Linked DNA regions of Daphnia pulex. The protein of the gene in region 1 purifies or fractionates together with the protein of each later gene. This does not show direct contact. Links are inferred from orthologs where the notes say so. Each region holds a gene or a part of one and is shown on either strand. Other genes may lie near its edges. The genes, in order: E3 ubiquitin-protein ligase MARCHF5-like and dynamin-1-like protein.

What was found.
Region 2: the proteins of E3 ubiquitin-protein ligase MARCHF5-like (region 1) and dynamin-1-like protein purify together in Homo sapiens (affinity purification with western blotting, with the first as the bait; 3 studies listed by BioGRID). This does not show direct contact. The link is inferred for Daphnia pulex from reciprocal best matches to the Homo sapiens genes MARCHF5 and DNM1L.

Annotation. Positions count from the first base shown.
Region 1 is NC_060025.1:254,677-262,545, forward strand, and holds E3 ubiquitin-protein ligase MARCHF5-like, read right to left. Parts: upstream 5,287-7,869; 5' UTR 5,194-5,286; intron 4,980-5,193; exon of another isoform or gene 4,966-4,979; 5' UTR 4,907-4,965; coding exon 4,842-4,906; intron 4,785-4,841; coding exon 4,576-4,784; intron 4,519-4,575; coding exon 4,025-4,518; intron 3,958-4,024; coding exon 3,805-3,957; 3' UTR 3,628-3,804; downstream 1-3,627. Other genes in the region: nucleolar protein 16-like, read right to left, coding at 1-144, 211-325, 396-496; probable RNA polymerase II nuclear localization protein SLC7A6OS, read left to right, coding at 958-1,104, 1,166-1,312, 1,369-1,589, 1,656-1,778, 1,853-2,078; 2-aminoethanethiol dioxygenase-like, read left to right, coding at 2,792-3,098, 3,164-3,609. UniProt on the Homo sapiens protein: Mitochondrial E3 ubiquitin-protein ligase that plays a crucial role in the control of mitochondrial morphology by acting as a positive regulator of mitochondrial fission and as an important regulator of immune response.
Region 2 is NC_060025.1:9,331,746-9,340,526, reverse strand, and holds the end of dynamin-1-like protein, read right to left. Parts: intron 8,405-8,781; exon of another isoform or gene 8,252-8,404; coding exon of another isoform or gene 8,135-8,251; intron 8,056-8,134; coding exon of another isoform or gene 7,861-8,055; intron 7,804-7,860; coding exon of another isoform or gene 7,521-7,803; intron 7,460-7,520; coding exon of another isoform or gene 7,103-7,459; intron 7,036-7,102; coding exon of another isoform or gene 6,950-7,035; exon of another isoform or gene 6,631-6,949; intron 6,342-6,630; 5' UTR 6,157-6,341; coding exon 6,055-6,156; intron 5,971-6,054; coding exon 5,826-5,970; intron 5,767-5,825; coding exon 5,615-5,766; intron 5,547-5,614; coding exon 5,279-5,546; intron 5,204-5,278; coding exon 5,103-5,203; intron 5,035-5,102; coding exon 4,724-5,034; intron 4,664-4,723; coding exon 4,513-4,663; intron 4,452-4,512; coding exon 4,236-4,451; intron 4,173-4,235; coding exon 3,957-4,172; intron 3,882-3,956; coding exon 3,590-3,881; intron 3,509-3,589; coding exon 3,240-3,508; 3' UTR 2,909-3,239; downstream 1-2,908. Other genes in the region: probable RNA-binding protein 46, read right to left, coding at 4-85, 148-198, 252-338, 411-482, 554-680, 741-1,002, 1,061-1,235, 1,400-1,577 and 1 more; N-glycosylase/DNA lyase-like, read left to right, coding at 6,950-7,035, 7,103-7,459, 7,521-7,803, 7,861-8,055, 8,135-8,251. UniProt on the Homo sapiens protein: Functions in mitochondrial and peroxisomal division.

The DNA.
Region 1 (7,869 bases):
CTCATAGTCTTCCCCGTGCTTTCCAAGAAGATACTCGATCCACTTGACCTTTTCTTTTGGCATCCTCATGGTTCCCGTTCTGGGAGCATTCATTTCCTTTTCAAGTTCTTTTACGACAGCTGTAGGCTCTTTGGGTACACGTTCCTAATCAAAATTTCAAATTCTAAATTTGACAACAGGAGCAAACAACTTTTTTAACGAAAATTTTACCAATGGTGTCTTTGTGCTGACAGGTAATGATCTGTTTGCATCGTACACCAGACCCATTGATCTCAGATTTGTACTTGCAGATTTATCACCTCTCCAACTATTTTTAATTGCTTTACTAAATAAATAAAGTTAATTATTATCAGCATTTACAAAATAAAATCACTAAACAGGGAGATGATGCTTACCAATTGATGTTTGGAACTTTCTTAGCCTTCTTTGCAACCTTCTTTTTGTCCACATGATATTGAAACTTCTTCCTTCCTCTGGATTTTTTGTTGCTCACCATTTTTTGTAATTCGCTTTAACTTGAACAAACTGAATTTGCAAATGTCAATGCGTCTTTCTTGCTGAAGCAGACGCTACGTTCTATCACTTCACGTGGTCAGCTCAGCTCTAGCGTCGAATTTTCGAACTCGACATCAAGTGTCTAAAATAAGGACTTAGAATAACAAAAAATTCCGATAACTTGTTGATTTTGATCTCCAAAAATCGAGAATAAAAAGTAACGAATTCATTAATTTTGTTGTACATTGACTGGCAAGTTAAAAATTAAAAAAATTCGGCTCCGATACTAGAGAATCTTGCGGGGAATCTCAGAACCCCCTAGTTAAACACCCGCCAATACGCAATCCAGCAAGTTGTCAAGAGAGCAGACAGCAGACCGTTACCACAGACTACGAAGTCTGTGTCGTTATTTCGAAACAAATCATTAAATTGAACGGGATTTCAATAAAATTACACACAAAAATGACGTCTATCGTAAGAATTAAACGTAGACAAAGTCAGGAACCAGCTGAAGCCCTTGTTCTTGCAACCAAACGTATTAAAGTGGAAGGTTCTGAACAGGCAGTTGAAGAGAACATTTTCAAATTTTGTGGATCTACAGAGAATGAGGTATTTGGTTTGATTTTCATGTTTGTTTGTCAATTATTAATTCTACTGATGCACTGTACAGGAAGAAAATTTGCAAAATATTGCCAAGTTGGTTGAAAAGGGAAAGTTGTTGTCTCACCGTCAAACTCCAAAGGCTTATAAAAGCTCTTCATTTCAGTCAAGAAAAGAAGAAAGTTCAGTTGCTATAAACAGTGAAAAGAAATATAAGGTATTTTTCAAATAAATCTCATAGTTGCTAAACATTGGTTAAAGTTTAGTTATTAGGTTCTCAACACATTCCGGGATCTTGATGCCACAAATACGATGAAAGTTTATGACCTTGTACTTGAAGAACATGAAAAAGGTGAAATTGCCACTTGCAATGGGATCCCTCTTGTTGTAGAGAAGTGTGAAGTATTGAAAGAAAATGAGAAGGAGTGTGTCTTTGATTTGTACTACTGTGAAGGAGGAACATTTGATGACTCTTACATTGATCGTCTCATGAGGTACACATAATCAGTGTGGATTCTGTTTTAAATCTTCATATTTTTTATTGTTATTATTATTTGTAGTGTTCAACCCTATTACAACTCTGGAGATCATGAAGACAGTGAAACCGACCACAGTGACGATTCGAATGATGAAAACAACTACCGCAATGAATATCCTGATACAGATCCCGATGAAGAACAAGGGTATATCAATCATGAATTTCCAATTGTAAAATAAAATCACAATTTGATGCTAATAGTTTATTATCTTATTTCAGAAGTGATGAAGATGTTATTGGGAAAATGTCTGGAATGTATTTGGATGCAACTAACGAATTGTCGTCTGATGATGACGATTTTATCTACTCAAAAGACGACTATCCTCGACACGGTGATGCCTACGCCAATTTTAAGATACGGGTAATGAAGGATTTGCAAGGGAGTGATTACGAGAGCGACAGCGATGACCAGTCAGACGACCAGATCGTTGAGTGTTTAGATTAAAAGTATATTGCTTGATCGGAAAACTTATTTTAAACCTTTTCATGTAAGTAAATTCTCTAAATGTGCATGTCGGGTTGGATATGTTCTCATTTAATATGTTAAACAAAATTGTATTATACAAATTTTTCTTAAAAAATAGCGCATTGATTTAATGTCGACTACACTACAGCTGCTTTTTAAATTGAAACTACAGTACCGTAAAGTATAGATTTTTAAAAATGCCTGTACATAGAAAGATGTAGGAAGTAGTAAATCGTAAATCTATTAGCTAACACATCTTATAGACTAGACAAAAACTTGAATGATTAAGAATTCCGCAATTAATTTATTGAAACAAACCTAAGATCTGAAAAGTGAAAATTATCACTCAAGTTTTGTTTACCGATCGATGTATCGATCTGCGTAAAATTTGGGGTTGTGATAAGTTAAATGGTTATAAAGTTTTTTTAAATGTTTATGAAATAGGATAAAATAATATTTTAAAGGGATAAAAATACTTCCGTCCATAGCTATTTGCTACAATCCCAAATTTAAAAAATTTTACTACTCTTTTTTTTTACGTCGTCTGCTAACTGAGATCCCATTGCCAGTTTTGCACTGCATCTGCATTCGTGTTTAATTGTTAATGCCCAAGTTTCCAAGTTCCAACTAGGTCATGTTTATCTGTAGTCACGTAGATCTGAAAAACCAACGTACCTTTTAAGTTGTCGAGTATGGGTTCTCGAATAGAAAATGTGATACGTACAGCAGTACAAACATTCGCAACTAAACCAAACGGTTCCTTCGTCAACGCAAATGTTAGTCACAACATGAACATTCTACGACAGCTGTTAAGTGAAATTTGCCCAGCTGACGACCTTGGATTAACTCGCTATTCTGGCCAGCCTCGCTTTCCCTTAAATTTGTTTTCATCAAAAGCTGCACCAGTCTCTTACATGGAAATTTTTGAAAACCAGACTGTTAGCATCGGTATATTTGTCCTCAAAGATGGAGCTTCTATTCCCCTGCATGATCATGTTGGTAACTGATTCAGATGTAAATTTAAAGAAAACTTTAATTATTGTTGAAATGATGATTGATTAAAGGTATGTACGGAATCTTGAAAGTGTTGTATGGGAGCCTTAATGTACAAAGCTACTCTCCAATTGATCTCCCTGGACAAACCAACAGCTCTATAGTGCACCAACCTCAGTACCTAAAGGCGAGAAGATTTCCCATCTCCTGTATTAATGAGAAGGATAGCCCTGCTGTGCTTTCACCTTCTGAACACAACCTGCACACAATTTGGACTGTTGGAGGTCCTGCATCTTTTCTGGATATTTTGGCACCTCCATATGATCCAAGTGGCACTCTGAATGGTGGGAAGGTTAGAGATTGCTACTACTACTCAGATGTTGCAGGAGAAGATGGAATGCCATCTAATTCTGAAATCAGATTGCTGAAAAAGACTTCTTGTCCACCTTCTTTCTGGTGTGACTCTTTGACCTACTGTGGACCTGACATCAAACACCTACAGCATGAATTAAACTAATTAAGGTAGCAACACAGGTTAAAGTTCCAACAAGTTTTATTTGCAGCAGCATCTCAACAGAAACAGTTTCAGTACTGTAACTAATGTTTAAAAAAAAATGTATCAATGTGTTCAAATACACAAACTGATCTTAACCCACCCAAATCAAGATTAATATATACACTTTCATGTAATCCCAAAATTCATACTTTCTAATTACGGATTAGTATTACTGCTTGTTTTTATTTCTTTTCCGTCGGATGGCCTTTTGGCGAAGTCCAGCACACGGCGTTGATATTGCCGAATAAGAATTTGTTGCTTGTAATAGATTTTCAAGGCTCCTTTGAGCATCAAAAAAGCAATACCACCCTGGAGAGACAAGAATTACTATAAATAGGTATAAAACTAAAATTAAAAAATATAGCACATCACTTACAAAAAAAGTTTTCTTTAGATTGGAGTGAACAGGATGAAATAGCAATTTTCCAAAGAGAACAGCCATTGATGGAAATATTAATGCTCCACATAACACCCTGGTAGCAGAAACCGGATCAGAAAACGGTGGCTCTGTACCCTGTGTATGGGGCCGCACAGAATCTGATGCAATTTGAAAAGTGGGTAGTAAATGTTTCACAATGGGCACCCGGGGAACATTCTTATTCAGAAAACCCAAGAGAGCTTCTTCCCAACGAACAAGCCTTCCCAGTATAAGCATGATAGGAACTGTTGGTAGGCCGATCAAAAGAAAAAGTGGATCTGACTGTTCCATTAATGCAAGTCCTTCTTTGGCCCCAACCGCTTGCATGATAGTAAGCGCCCCATAGGTCACAGCAGTCCAATAGATAGAACCAATGACAACACCAGCTGCTATAAATGGGCACACTCTGTAAATAATGCGGTCAGCAATATCAAGAACTAAGATGAGTTTTCCTAAAAACGAAATCACATTAAACAGACTAAACATCAACAATGTAAAAAGAAAGTTACCAATTGGAGGGAAAACTATAACATATTGGGTGTTGCATTGTGGACAGTGAACCCTTTCCAATGAATTGCCTTTCTGCTTTTCGTCAACCCAACGTTGGAGGCAACTTTCATGAACCCATCTTGTTGTCCCACTACATTGGCATGGTTGCACCCACACAGCCGTAAGATCGTCCTCATCCGTAGCAAAACAAACCCAGCAATATCTTTTGCTAAAAAAAAAACAACCAAGTTATTGCAAATTCAAGTTTTTAATTGCTTTCACTTACTTATCATCGTGTAAATCTTCTCGGCGATTCGTTTCAATGACGGGTTCTTCTGTCTCAGACTCCATGATATTTCAGTTATTTTTCTTTCTGTTGTTTATCACAATATAAAATGCTACAGGGACATCTAGGAGCCGTTACAGAAACCAGTTGGAATAAAACGTCATAAGTGTTGGGTGTTGGCATCCCCCCCCATGAGTTGCGAGGTAGGAAAAAAAATTCTAATCAAATTATGCAGTCTAACTTCTAATCAAATACATAATAATGAAATAATAAGTAAGCAAAAGGTAAACTACGAAATGGCAATCTGACGCAGTGGTTTACACAGGTTTACACGACGACGACATTAGCTTACTCGAGAATGGGGAGGGGAAAAGACACATAACATAGTTTTTTATTATTAGTTAGATTTTTTCAAAAAGTATGGTTGACCCCGAGGAGGAAGCGATGAATGAAACCAGAGTCACAGATTACTCTGATGAAACGATGACGCAATTTATTTAAATGTGTTTAGGGATTTAGCAATTGAGTCCTAAAAGTGCTGCTGGTATTTCCGAGGGGATGTTGAGGAGGTGGGGTTCTCATAAGTCATCAGATCATCATCATTTCTCGCAGTCGGCCACACGTTTTTCCACTCGTTCGTAGCTTCATAGTTAATTGGTTCATTGTTCTATTTTTTCATTCCGTTCATTCTTCTGTTGAGTGCCGCTGACTTTTGTAAGGATGGTTGTAAGTATAGGAGTAGGTACGTTTGTCGCGTTTTCTTGTTCTGAGCATCCGTCAAGTGATGAATGAATGATTCACAGATTACCCCAACTAATGTTATCTTAGTTTTGTTACGATTCTGTTCACAATTATCGGCCTTCATTTAGTAATTTATTTTCTTGTTCGTGCTTTTAAACTCGATCAACTTTATCTGCGCTGAATGACGATCGTGAACGAGCTCTGACATAAAGTTTTCTTGTGATCAAGTCTCCCTTGTCATTTACCATAATAACTGAGAAGTTTCCAATGCTGCCACAATAGTTTTCTACTTAATACTTATAATGGAATGTTTTTAAACTTTTCTTTCACTTTGTTTGTAAGATTGCTTATTGTTGAGGCATAATAGACTTGCTTCAAGTATTAGGGTTTGTTCAACAAACTTTCTCGTTTAGATACATGTACCGTTGTCTAAGTTTCTATTTGAATGTCCATTGTGTTGGTCTTTACAGGGAGGAGTGGTCTATGTTTCAGAATTGGACTACTGGGCAAAGTTCTGCAGTTTGTTATACCATGTACCAAATGGTGAAGACATTGAAATTGAGATGCTCATTTTTCTTGCTTTTATTCACCCAATCAAAATTATAATTTTATTTTTTTGTTCTTGTCTCATCAGAAGCTAAAGTATTCTTTGTCATTACCTGGCTGAAATCATCTTTGCTATCCAGCAGTTCTACACTTTCTAGTTTGGAATATGAAAAGGTATAAATATTGTAACTCCAATTATATTTAGGCAACAAATGAATTCATATCAATTTTTATGTTTTCTAGATGCATTGTTTGGATCTGGTAGACATGACTTTAAAAAAAGTAAACAAAGAATAATACATCAACGTAAATTTTTATTGGTCAACAAGTAGTACTTGGATATTAAATCACGAGCTCACAAATCATGTGCTTGCATGGCACGAATTCAGTACAACCTGAAGACTCAACTAGGACTTCCAGGTAATTATTTTCGTTGCCCAATGGCGTTACAGATAGTTCTATGGTCGCTGGATATATGTGCGTCATAATTATTAAAACACGATTTTTTTTTAAATTTTCATTGAAAGTAAAACGTTGTTTATTCAGGCTTCACCATCTCTCATTGTGGGCTTTTACGGCAGTAGTCAACGCTCGAGTACAACGGCTTCAATAGTTTCCCACGTCGTGTGTAGGTAATTGATCAGACTATCCCTGAACTCTTCATCTTTAAGTTCTTTTTATTACTTTATACGACGATTTCGACATAGTGCATATGTGTTCGTAGATATTTGAGTAAGAGTTAGTTGTGCTTAGTTTTGCAGGGTTATATTATACAGACAGTTCGAGATAACATGGAGGGATACATGGAGATAGTAGCTATCAACATATGGTCCCATAATTTCGCCCCTTTCTGATTTTCTTCTAATTTGGTCCCACTCTGCCGCACTCTGTTTGATATGCCTCGAAGTATTGCCATTTCATCCGATCTGTATAAATAGGTGACTTTGCTGTTTCTCAGACCAGCCCTACACTTGAGATCCAGCAAAACATTTCGATCATCGATACCTCAATTGGCACAATTCAGTCGGGAATTTTCGCAGTCGTAGTTGAGCGTCCGTTTTAATCGGATTGTTAGAGGCTCAACTCCATCATCTGATTTAAGCCGAGTCTTCCATCATTGTTGATGTCCTTTGCCGACCGTAATACCTTTTCCAGCCTGGAACTGAAGCACGTTAGATGTGTGACAAAGAAAGTAAATTCAACTTGTATTTACATCAATCAATGATTAAACTTGAATTCTTTTTAAGGTTGAAATAACACACTGAACGATTGCTGAAGGATAAGTGAAGAAATCAACCATCATCAACATCTAACGCTAGGAGATGAATTCCGATGTTCACAATGACGAAAAGGTAATGCTTCTTTTATGATTTAAAGCAATTAATTACCAAATTAATTATTATTATCAGGGAGGCGCATTGAGAAAGAAACTTTATTTCGCTACTTCTTCCAAATCGGCCTCTCGAAGTTCTATCGTCCGGAATTTATATCGTTGGAACTCGCTCAACAGTATCTGGTGGTATTGTGTTTTGGTCAATCAACTCTGAAAACCCATTGGCCTGGAAGGTGTCCCCTGTCGCGAGGTGATATGAGTTTGCACGACGTTGATCGAGAAGGCGAGATTGGGTTGTTGAATTAGTCGTGAAGTCGTTCTTATCGTCCAACATTTCGTGGAAGTGGTTCAGTTGAAAATCGCGCTGGCGGTAACTATCGAGCAAAGTAAACAGAATTGCCATCAGCC
Region 2 (8,781 bases), about 9.1 Mb from region 1:
TACCGTTATCAACCATCGTTTGATTCACATACGCGACTGCGCACCCAGTTATCGCCTGTTGTGCCTCTTTTTCCGTTTCGTAGGTCTATAAGGAAAATTCTGCATTAGAAACTTGCAGGTTAACAAGAACTTGTGAAATTAACTTACATCCGCAGAAGTGAACATGTTGTAAGGGAGGCCCATTTTCGGAATAGTTATCTAATTAAAATGATTTAGTGTCACCACTAATTAGTTTGTAAAATCAATATCACCTTGGCCAAATAACGTTCGTCTACGCCTTTGCGAAGTTCGATTATTGGCTCACCGAGATCGTACAATTGGCACAAAGAATCGAGTATCTGTAATAACAATTAAAAATTCGAATTGAAACAAGGACAAAACAAAATGGAAGGAGATAATCAAGTTTTGACCTTTACGTTATCAGTGTAACCTCCATTCGTCCAGGGCATGTACAGGTTCATGTGTGAGGTAGCAGCGCAAACCTAGAAAAAAACAACAACAACATTTGTAAAACCTCGTCACTACGATACACGATTAGATCATATCAAGTTACGGTATTTTCATTCTTCTGCTGACCGATGAAATTCGAAGTTGTTTGAGGTGGATAATCGTTGCAATATAAATTAATTGGTAATTGGTTGTGTCTGCGACCCGGCATCATGTAGTTATACAAGGTGTTCCTAATGAGCAGCAAACAATCAATTTAAACGTCTATTCAAATGTGTTTCCGTTTCTTATACTGTTGGGGATAGAGCGGATAGGACGGATAAGCCTGGAGCGGTAGACCGTTTTGAGGTTGAATAACGCCAGGATGAGAGAAAGTGAAGTGTGGCCACATTTGTTGAAATGTTGTCGCTGGATATCGTGTTTGACGAGTCATCCCCGAGGTAAACAACATAGTGGAGGAAGCTATCAATTTGCTTCGTGCGTTGCTACGTTTGGGCTTATCCCCGACTGGTTTCGCCCATGTAATTTGCATTTTGATCCCATTCAGCTCGCGATCTATTTAACAGACGGGTAATTCCTTAATAGGAAATAAGCATATACGAGAATCTAATACCTTGAAGAGCATCCATGGCTTGCTGGGCCTGCGAACGGCTGCCAAAGTGAATGAATGCGAAATCATTTAAGATTTTCACCTTTTCAACGCCGCCATTGCCGGCCCTATCAAACAGCTCTTCCAATTCCTTCTCTTTCGTCGTTATCAACAGATTGCGGACGTAGAGCACACGCACCTGAATATTGCGGTTTGAAATTACGATAAGTCCATGTTTAAAGGAGAATTTAATACGATAAGAAGGCCCCGTTAAGAGTATTGATAAAGCGGTGAATCATTTTATCGGCACTTGACTTGTTTTCCCATTCACCAAACAAACGAAATGAAAATTGAAATTTTTACCTTGGACAGGATTTCTTCTTCGACTACGGGTTCGGGCTCTGCCCAGTCAACGGCCACGTTCTTCCCCCACAGCAGCAACCGATCCGGTAGGCATTTCCTACGAGCCAAAGCGGCAGCTCGGTGCGATTCGTATTCGATGAAAGCAAATCCTCTATTCTTCTTCTTGTCGACTACTGAACTAAACACGCCAAAAATAAAAAAAAGGTATTTAATTACAGGTGTAAATGTATGACTAGTAAACATTTTTACCTGTAGAGAATAACGCGGACGACACCCTCTGTAATGCGTGACATTTCTTTGTGTATCTCCTCTTCGGATTTGTCTTTGGGTATTCCACCGATGAATAGGCGACAGTTGTCCATGGACCTGATGACACCAATGAATCGACCGGGTCGGATTTCGTAGCGATTCAATTTCTGGATGGCTTTGCCTGCATCCGCTGGCGTTGCAAATGTCACAAAAGCGAACCCACGGTTGGTCTCATTCGTGTCCATCATTAGACGGATTTCGTAGACTGGGCCGACGGTTTGAAAGACGGGCAGAAGCTCGTTCTCCATTAGATCGCGGGGAATTTTCCCAACAAATACTTCTCCGCCTTTGGAGGGCGGTGGCCCTGTCCAGCCTTCTGGCGGCCCACCGTACCTCCTTTGTCCACTTCGCAACATGATATTTTACTAGAGAATCAGATTCGGACTGCAACCGGAGATTCACTAAAGACTCTCTCTCTCTCTTTCTCTCTAGAAAAGGGATAAGTCTGTTGAGCTTCCGATCAGTTGACTGTACTCGAGAGAACTAGAGTTGGGCACGTGAAAGCCGACGAGCTTCGAGTGATTTCCCTTATCTTTTTAACTGTGCGTGTGTATCTGCTGGGTGAGTGTGTGTGTCATTCGAGTGCAGGGAATTTTCGAGTCGCGGAAAGGAGAAAAAAAAAACACTCCCTCATTACGCTGATAACGTCTGATCACAAGGCTGTGCCTCATCTGAAAAACGAAGCTATTCAATTCACCCTGAAAAGAAGAAAATTAACCAGCCAAATGGATTCACTAAAAATTAGGGAGGTGAACCGTGAAACACTTGAAAAGGAGTAATTCGTCCTGATTATTCGTCGTTATCGTTTCTTTGCCGACTAATCTCACGAAAATATCCCAAAAACCGGCCGACCCGTCGACAGTTGGGCAACACAAAACACTGATGACGGGAGGGGCTGGACTAGAGTTCTTTTTTTTATCTTCGCATTAAAGAAAAAAGATACAGCACTAGGCATTCGTGGAATTAACCGACGACGAGTCAATCGATGACGAATTTCCTACTGGATTAAAAATGGACGGTGATAAAAACATGCCGAAATCAAACATGACTGCGCAACTGGTTGCCCTTTACATGCTCCGAAGGCCAATTACAGAAAAAAATAATAAACATCACTAAAATCTATTGGCAAAATTTAAAAAAAAAAGGGGCTAAATAGTTTGGTCATCTACAGTTGGAAATATTTTACGTTTTTCCCTCCCATCATTTCAACATTATTTTATTGTACTGAAAATAATAATTAAAAAAAAAAGAATAACATACATCGGACTACATTTGTAAATGTGGAATGAAAAATACTAACTGGAGGAGATTTTACGATATTCTATGCCCATCTCTCAGATGTCTAATTCGCAAAATAGTTGGGAACAGACTACAACTGGACGAAAAAAAAGGAGGGGGGGGGGGGAGCCCTAGAAAAATTTTAATTTTTTTTTTGTATGAGCGATCGAGTGACAGAAGAAGAAAAAAAGACTAGATCACGTATAACGGAGAGCACACTACAATCGAAAAGAATTTAGAGAGAGTATAAACTTCACCAAAAATGGGTCTCCCGAATCTCGCCGATAATCACGCTGGCTCGTTGAAGTGCCTCGAGCATATCCGCAGCTTCTTTGCGGCGCTGAGCTATGTGCTCCGACTCGGCCAGCAATAAATCAATTTGATCGGGGCGATAGAGGTGAGTTACCAATTCCGACTGCAAGTTGTCCTTGACGTGATTGACCAGGAAGTGCATCACAGCTTTCGGCACGGAATCTTGGATCGATTTACGGACGATGTAAAAGTAGGTTTTAATCAGTCGCTCTAAGGAGAAGAAAAGATGAGTTGTTTTTTAATTGGGACGTTGTTCAACTGGAAAATATAAAGTTTGACGTAGTAGTATACCAATAACTTCACAATCCCTCTTCTCTCGCTCAGACAACTTTCGCTCGGGTTGGTGCACAGCTTCCGAGAGCAGATTCACCGGTTTCTGATGCCCGAAAGGGTTCTGAAGTGGAACGGGTGATGCGTGATGAGTAGGCGTCGCGGCCGGGGTGTTTTCACCAGAATTATCGTTCATCATCAAGTCCTCTCGTCCGGCCGGAAGCAAATTGCTCAGCCAATTGGTTTGTTGTACAAAAGGAGCACCACCACCGTTGCTATCAATCAACGAGACTGATGTCTTCTGAACGCGAATCTGTCGGTGGCAGCAACAACAACATCTTTTGTGACGGACAAAACTTTTGGAATCAAAATGTTATCGAAATCGTACTTCTCTAGACGGAGAAGCAGCCTCGCCGTTGGGAATAGCCGGAGGGAAGAGCACTGGTTGTTTTTTCGACGAAACTTGTCTGGATGGTTGAACTTTTTGAGAGACAGGCTCTTCAATGTGAGAATGCATTAGCGTCGATACGAGCGAAGCTTCACGGTGAAAGTCGGGGTGTTTGGTGTTGATATAAGCGAGCTCAATGGCGACAAGGTTTTCAACCTAAAACAACAAACGTGATTCTCAATCAGAGCGGACAACAAGTTTACCCCCACCGGTATTTACCATGATGTTGGTGGGAGGAAGACGCTGTCTCAACAGTGTAGTGACTACGTCAACAATTTTCTCGTGAAGTTTAGGGAAGCGGAGCATTTCCTGTTGAACTTCCGTGCCGCAATGTTGAATGATTCTTTGCATCTCCTCGTGAACCAATTCAATGCACCGCAGCGAAGGATCTTCGAGGCGACGAATTTGACGTTTCACCAACAATTCAAAAGAAACCTTGTAAAATAAATCATGTTAATGCATTGCATGATGTATAAAGGACAAGTTTTTGTTTTACCTCTGGGACAAATAAGGCAGGCCTGGGACCTGTTGCATTGCGAATAGCAGTGAGTATATCTAATGTGGTTAAACCAGATAGTGGATGAATAGAATCTAAAGTCCTTCCAAACGTTTCGTGGAAGATGTAACAAATCCTCGCACCACCACACCTGCAAGACTGAACTATTAGCAAGAATTTGGTTTGTCGAGAATTGATAAATGTCACTCACAGTTCGGTGGTTTCAATATTCCTGGCCGTGCCTTCGATCGTGGCGCAATACGACGAGGCAAACTTGGTGATGATTTGAAGCAAAGTTTGACTTTTATCTCTGACTTGATCTCCATACGAGTGAAGTAGCGCTTGAAATTGTGACATCATCAAATTGACTCTTGTTTTGAGCTCAGGGAGGCAGTCGCGGATGTGGTGCATCAAGAGTCGTTGCAGGGTTTTCCCCAAGTAGGCCGTTCCGTTGCGGGTTGCCAAAGTGGGATAGCGGCGCTGGAGAAAGCTCATTTCATCTTTTAACGCTTCTTCGATGCTCTGGTTTACATAGAAAAAGTTACTTCTCCAGAAACCTAATCAATGTGTATATAGCGTCGAGCATTTACCTTGTTATTTTGTATGTCTTTTTGAGACCGGTTGACTAATCCAATAATGCCGAGTTTAACTGGAATAACTCTGCCACACAGGACATCTATGGCATCAGTTCCTGAAAGAATTAAAAAAATTCAAACTTTAAGCCCCAGCTGAAGAGATAATTGAAGTTGAAACATTAAAAACTCACCTGCATCCATGAGATCTAACTTGGTCATGACAGCTAAGGTTCTCCTTCCCTCTGGATCAACTTCTCTTGCAAGTTTGAGGGCTTCAGAAGTAGCCAAATCTGTCGTGGCTGGAGTGACAGCCAAAATCAAGCTGTTGGGATTGCTGACAAAACTAAAAATAAGTTCATAAATCTTTGCTTCAATGTCCTCTGGTTGGTCCCCAACTGGAACTTTTGTGATTCCAGGAAGATCGACAAGTGTAAGATTGACTACTTTAGTAGAGTAAACCTGCACAATGACATTAGATCACAGTTAATACAGGGGCAATAACAAAGAAATAGAGTCTAATCAATCACCTTCAAGCTCATGGGCTCATGGGCTATTCCCTTGTTGTGCCCTGCTACCCGATCAGTTTCATGTTCAATTTCGCTCAAGACTTCCCTAAAGTCTGTAAATATTTTGTTTTTCAGATGCAGAAACTTTGCCCATTCTTCCAAGTGTAGTGTCCCTGAAAATATTGACCTTGAAATAATTGCAATGAGATGAAAAGAGTATTGCACAAACAACCTTCATCTGCAGAGCGATGTTCTTTATCTTCTAGTGGGGTATAAATAAGTTGCAGGACTAAAGGTCGTCGTGTAACAATTCCAGTTCCTCTCGGTAAGAATGTTCTGCCTACAAGCCCTTCAATGACTGAACTTTTTCCTGAGCTCTACAGGGGGGGAAAAGAACAAAATTTACAATTATTTATTGCCTTAAAGATGGAACTGAATCGAAAAAAGAAATGTTACTGTACCTGCGTGCCGACAACAACAATCTGTGGTAACTGAATCGTATCGGCTCCGACTGTGTGAAAAACATCTTGCAGTTTGTTGATGACAGGAATTAATTGTTCCATGCTTAAAGAAGATCGGCTTGTTCACCACACGTGAATATATTTGAACGTGGGGTTCTAACTAATCCGTATATTACTTCAGTGTACGTTATTAACAGTTTTCCGCTCTTTATTAAGCAGACAACGGTAGACCAATGAAAGAACTCGACGATGGCCACCTGGCGGTCTCGAAAGAAACTGATCATCAGCTGCAATATTATAAAAAATATGAAAATATGAAAAAGAAAATTTAATATGCTGATTCCAAAAAAGGAGAAATCCGCTTCGGCTATTGCGACAGTAAGGAAATAGTTTGATGACGAAAATCAATTTTTGCGGCAACTCTATGCGCCAAACTGAAGGGCATGGAACGCAGAACGAAAAGGGAAAGTCAGATAATCAATAAAAAAATGATAACGCATTTTATCTACATTATTTGATGTTCTCTTGCTGCTGCTTTATAAAAATGTCTCAAGGTGTATAACCACACGCTTAAGTGCAGTTAGATAAAAAAATATTTTTATGGCCCATAAAATTATTATTTCTTTTTTAAGAACGTCAGTTGCAAAGATGAATAAGAATTTATTACCTCGCCCAAGAAATAATTAGATCAACTACGTTACTGGCTTGATAATCAATAATAATCCGAAAAAATATAGGGCGGAATGTTGTAATCGGGCAATCCCGTTAACTATTGTTTATGTTTTCAAACTAGCAGACGATAAAACTCGGTTCGAGTCAGTTTTAAAGTCAAATGTGTCTTTCACGTCAACTCATAAATAAATAATCCCTTGAGCTTTTTTTAACGTCTATTCCAATGGCAGCAACATCAATAATGAAAATACCTTGTAAAATGGCAGAACTGTCCCTGGATATTTCACTGAATTGTGGACAGAGTTTCAGGTTGGGGAAAAAAGTACATTGATAATCTGTCGGCTATGATTTGAAAACATGTTTTTAAAATTCTCAGGTGGAAAAAATCCCTCACTGGCGAGTGGATTGGTGTGTTGGGAGGCTATTTGTGGCTAATGACTCAGGATGAGACTTGCATCAATTATCGTGTTGTCCAACCCCCAGTTAAAATTGAACCAGCATCGAGCCCATCAGCCGTAAAGACAGAGTTGAAGGAATGTATTGATTACGAACACATACTCAAAGACTACTTTCAATTGGATATTGATTTGGAAAGTCTTTACAGGCAGTGGTCACTAGCTGATCCAAATTTCAATCAAGTTGCCAAGAATTTTGCAGGTGTGCGAATGCTGAGGCAGGACCCCGTTGAAAATCTGTTTGCATTCATTTGCTCGTCAAACAACAACATCCAGAGGTTTGTTTCCAAAATCATTTCTCGAATATGTCAAGTATAAAAAATGTTGCTCCATTCCCAGAATCACGGGCATGGTTGAAAAATTGTGTGAAAACTATGGAAATCAATTATTGACGCACGAAGACGTTGCCTATTATTCATTTCCAGCGCTGGAATCGCTAGCCGCTGACAAAGTGGAATCTCGATTGAGAACTCTGGGCTTTGGTTACCGGGCCAAATTCATCCAACAGTCTGCAGCCAAGATTGTCGAAAACGGTGGCAGAGATTGGCTCATGAATTTGAGAAACGTTTCCTACCCTGAAGCTAAAACTGCCTTGATGACTCTACCAGGAATAGGCGCCAAGGTATATCAGACATTTCTTTTATAAAAATTGAAAATTTATTATTTTTATTTAAAAAAGGTGGCTGACTGCATCTGTTTAATGTCGCTGGATCACAGTGTGGCAATCCCGGTGGACACGCACGTCTTCCAAATCGCCAAGGCCAGCTACGTGCCGCACCTGAGCCAAACGAAAAGTGTGACGGACAAGGTCTACAAAGAGATCAGCGCTCATTTCCAATCTCTGTTTGGACCGTACGCTGGATGGGCCCATTCGGTATGACAACACCTTTTTTCAAAATAAATTTGTCTGTCGGACGCGATTGAAATTTTAAATTCTAAATAAAAAAAAACAGGTTCTTTTCAGCGCCGACTTGCGCCATCTGAAAGCCGAGCCGTCACCGGCCAAGAAAAGGAGCCGTGAAAAAAGTCAAGACGTCAGCAGCAGCAAAGAGAAGCCGAAAAAAAGATGAAATCCGCCGCAAGTCTAAGAAATGATGGTCGTCGTCGTCACATATGTTTGTTGTAACGGCCGAGACATTTATGTTTTTTTAAATGATGTGTTTGTTTGCGTACATTGTAAACTAGGAAAAATACGAAGAAAATGTTATTTTGTCAAAGGAAAATGGACTTGATTGATGACGCCTGGCCAAGTAAAGCCCAGGCTCGGAATATATAGAAAGAAAAACACACAGTCCGTGATTAATGGACTTATCACATCTTTTTTTTAGCTTCTTCTTTTTCTAATAAGAATAATAAGACGGGTGCTCTGTAATGCCTTGAGGCTCTGGTCTTTTCCAGTTGCCTAACCTCCACACCGAATGCGCGCCAAAGTCTTTAAATGGATTAATACAAAATACCAAAAAAGAAAAGGAAAGGAGCAGATTGGGTCGCCGGAAGGTTTATTTCACGCCGATTAAACGTCTCGGCGTCTTTAACCGGATCGGACAACTTTAGACTATTTTATCTCTGCAACAACAACAACAAGAGTAAGAACGTATTG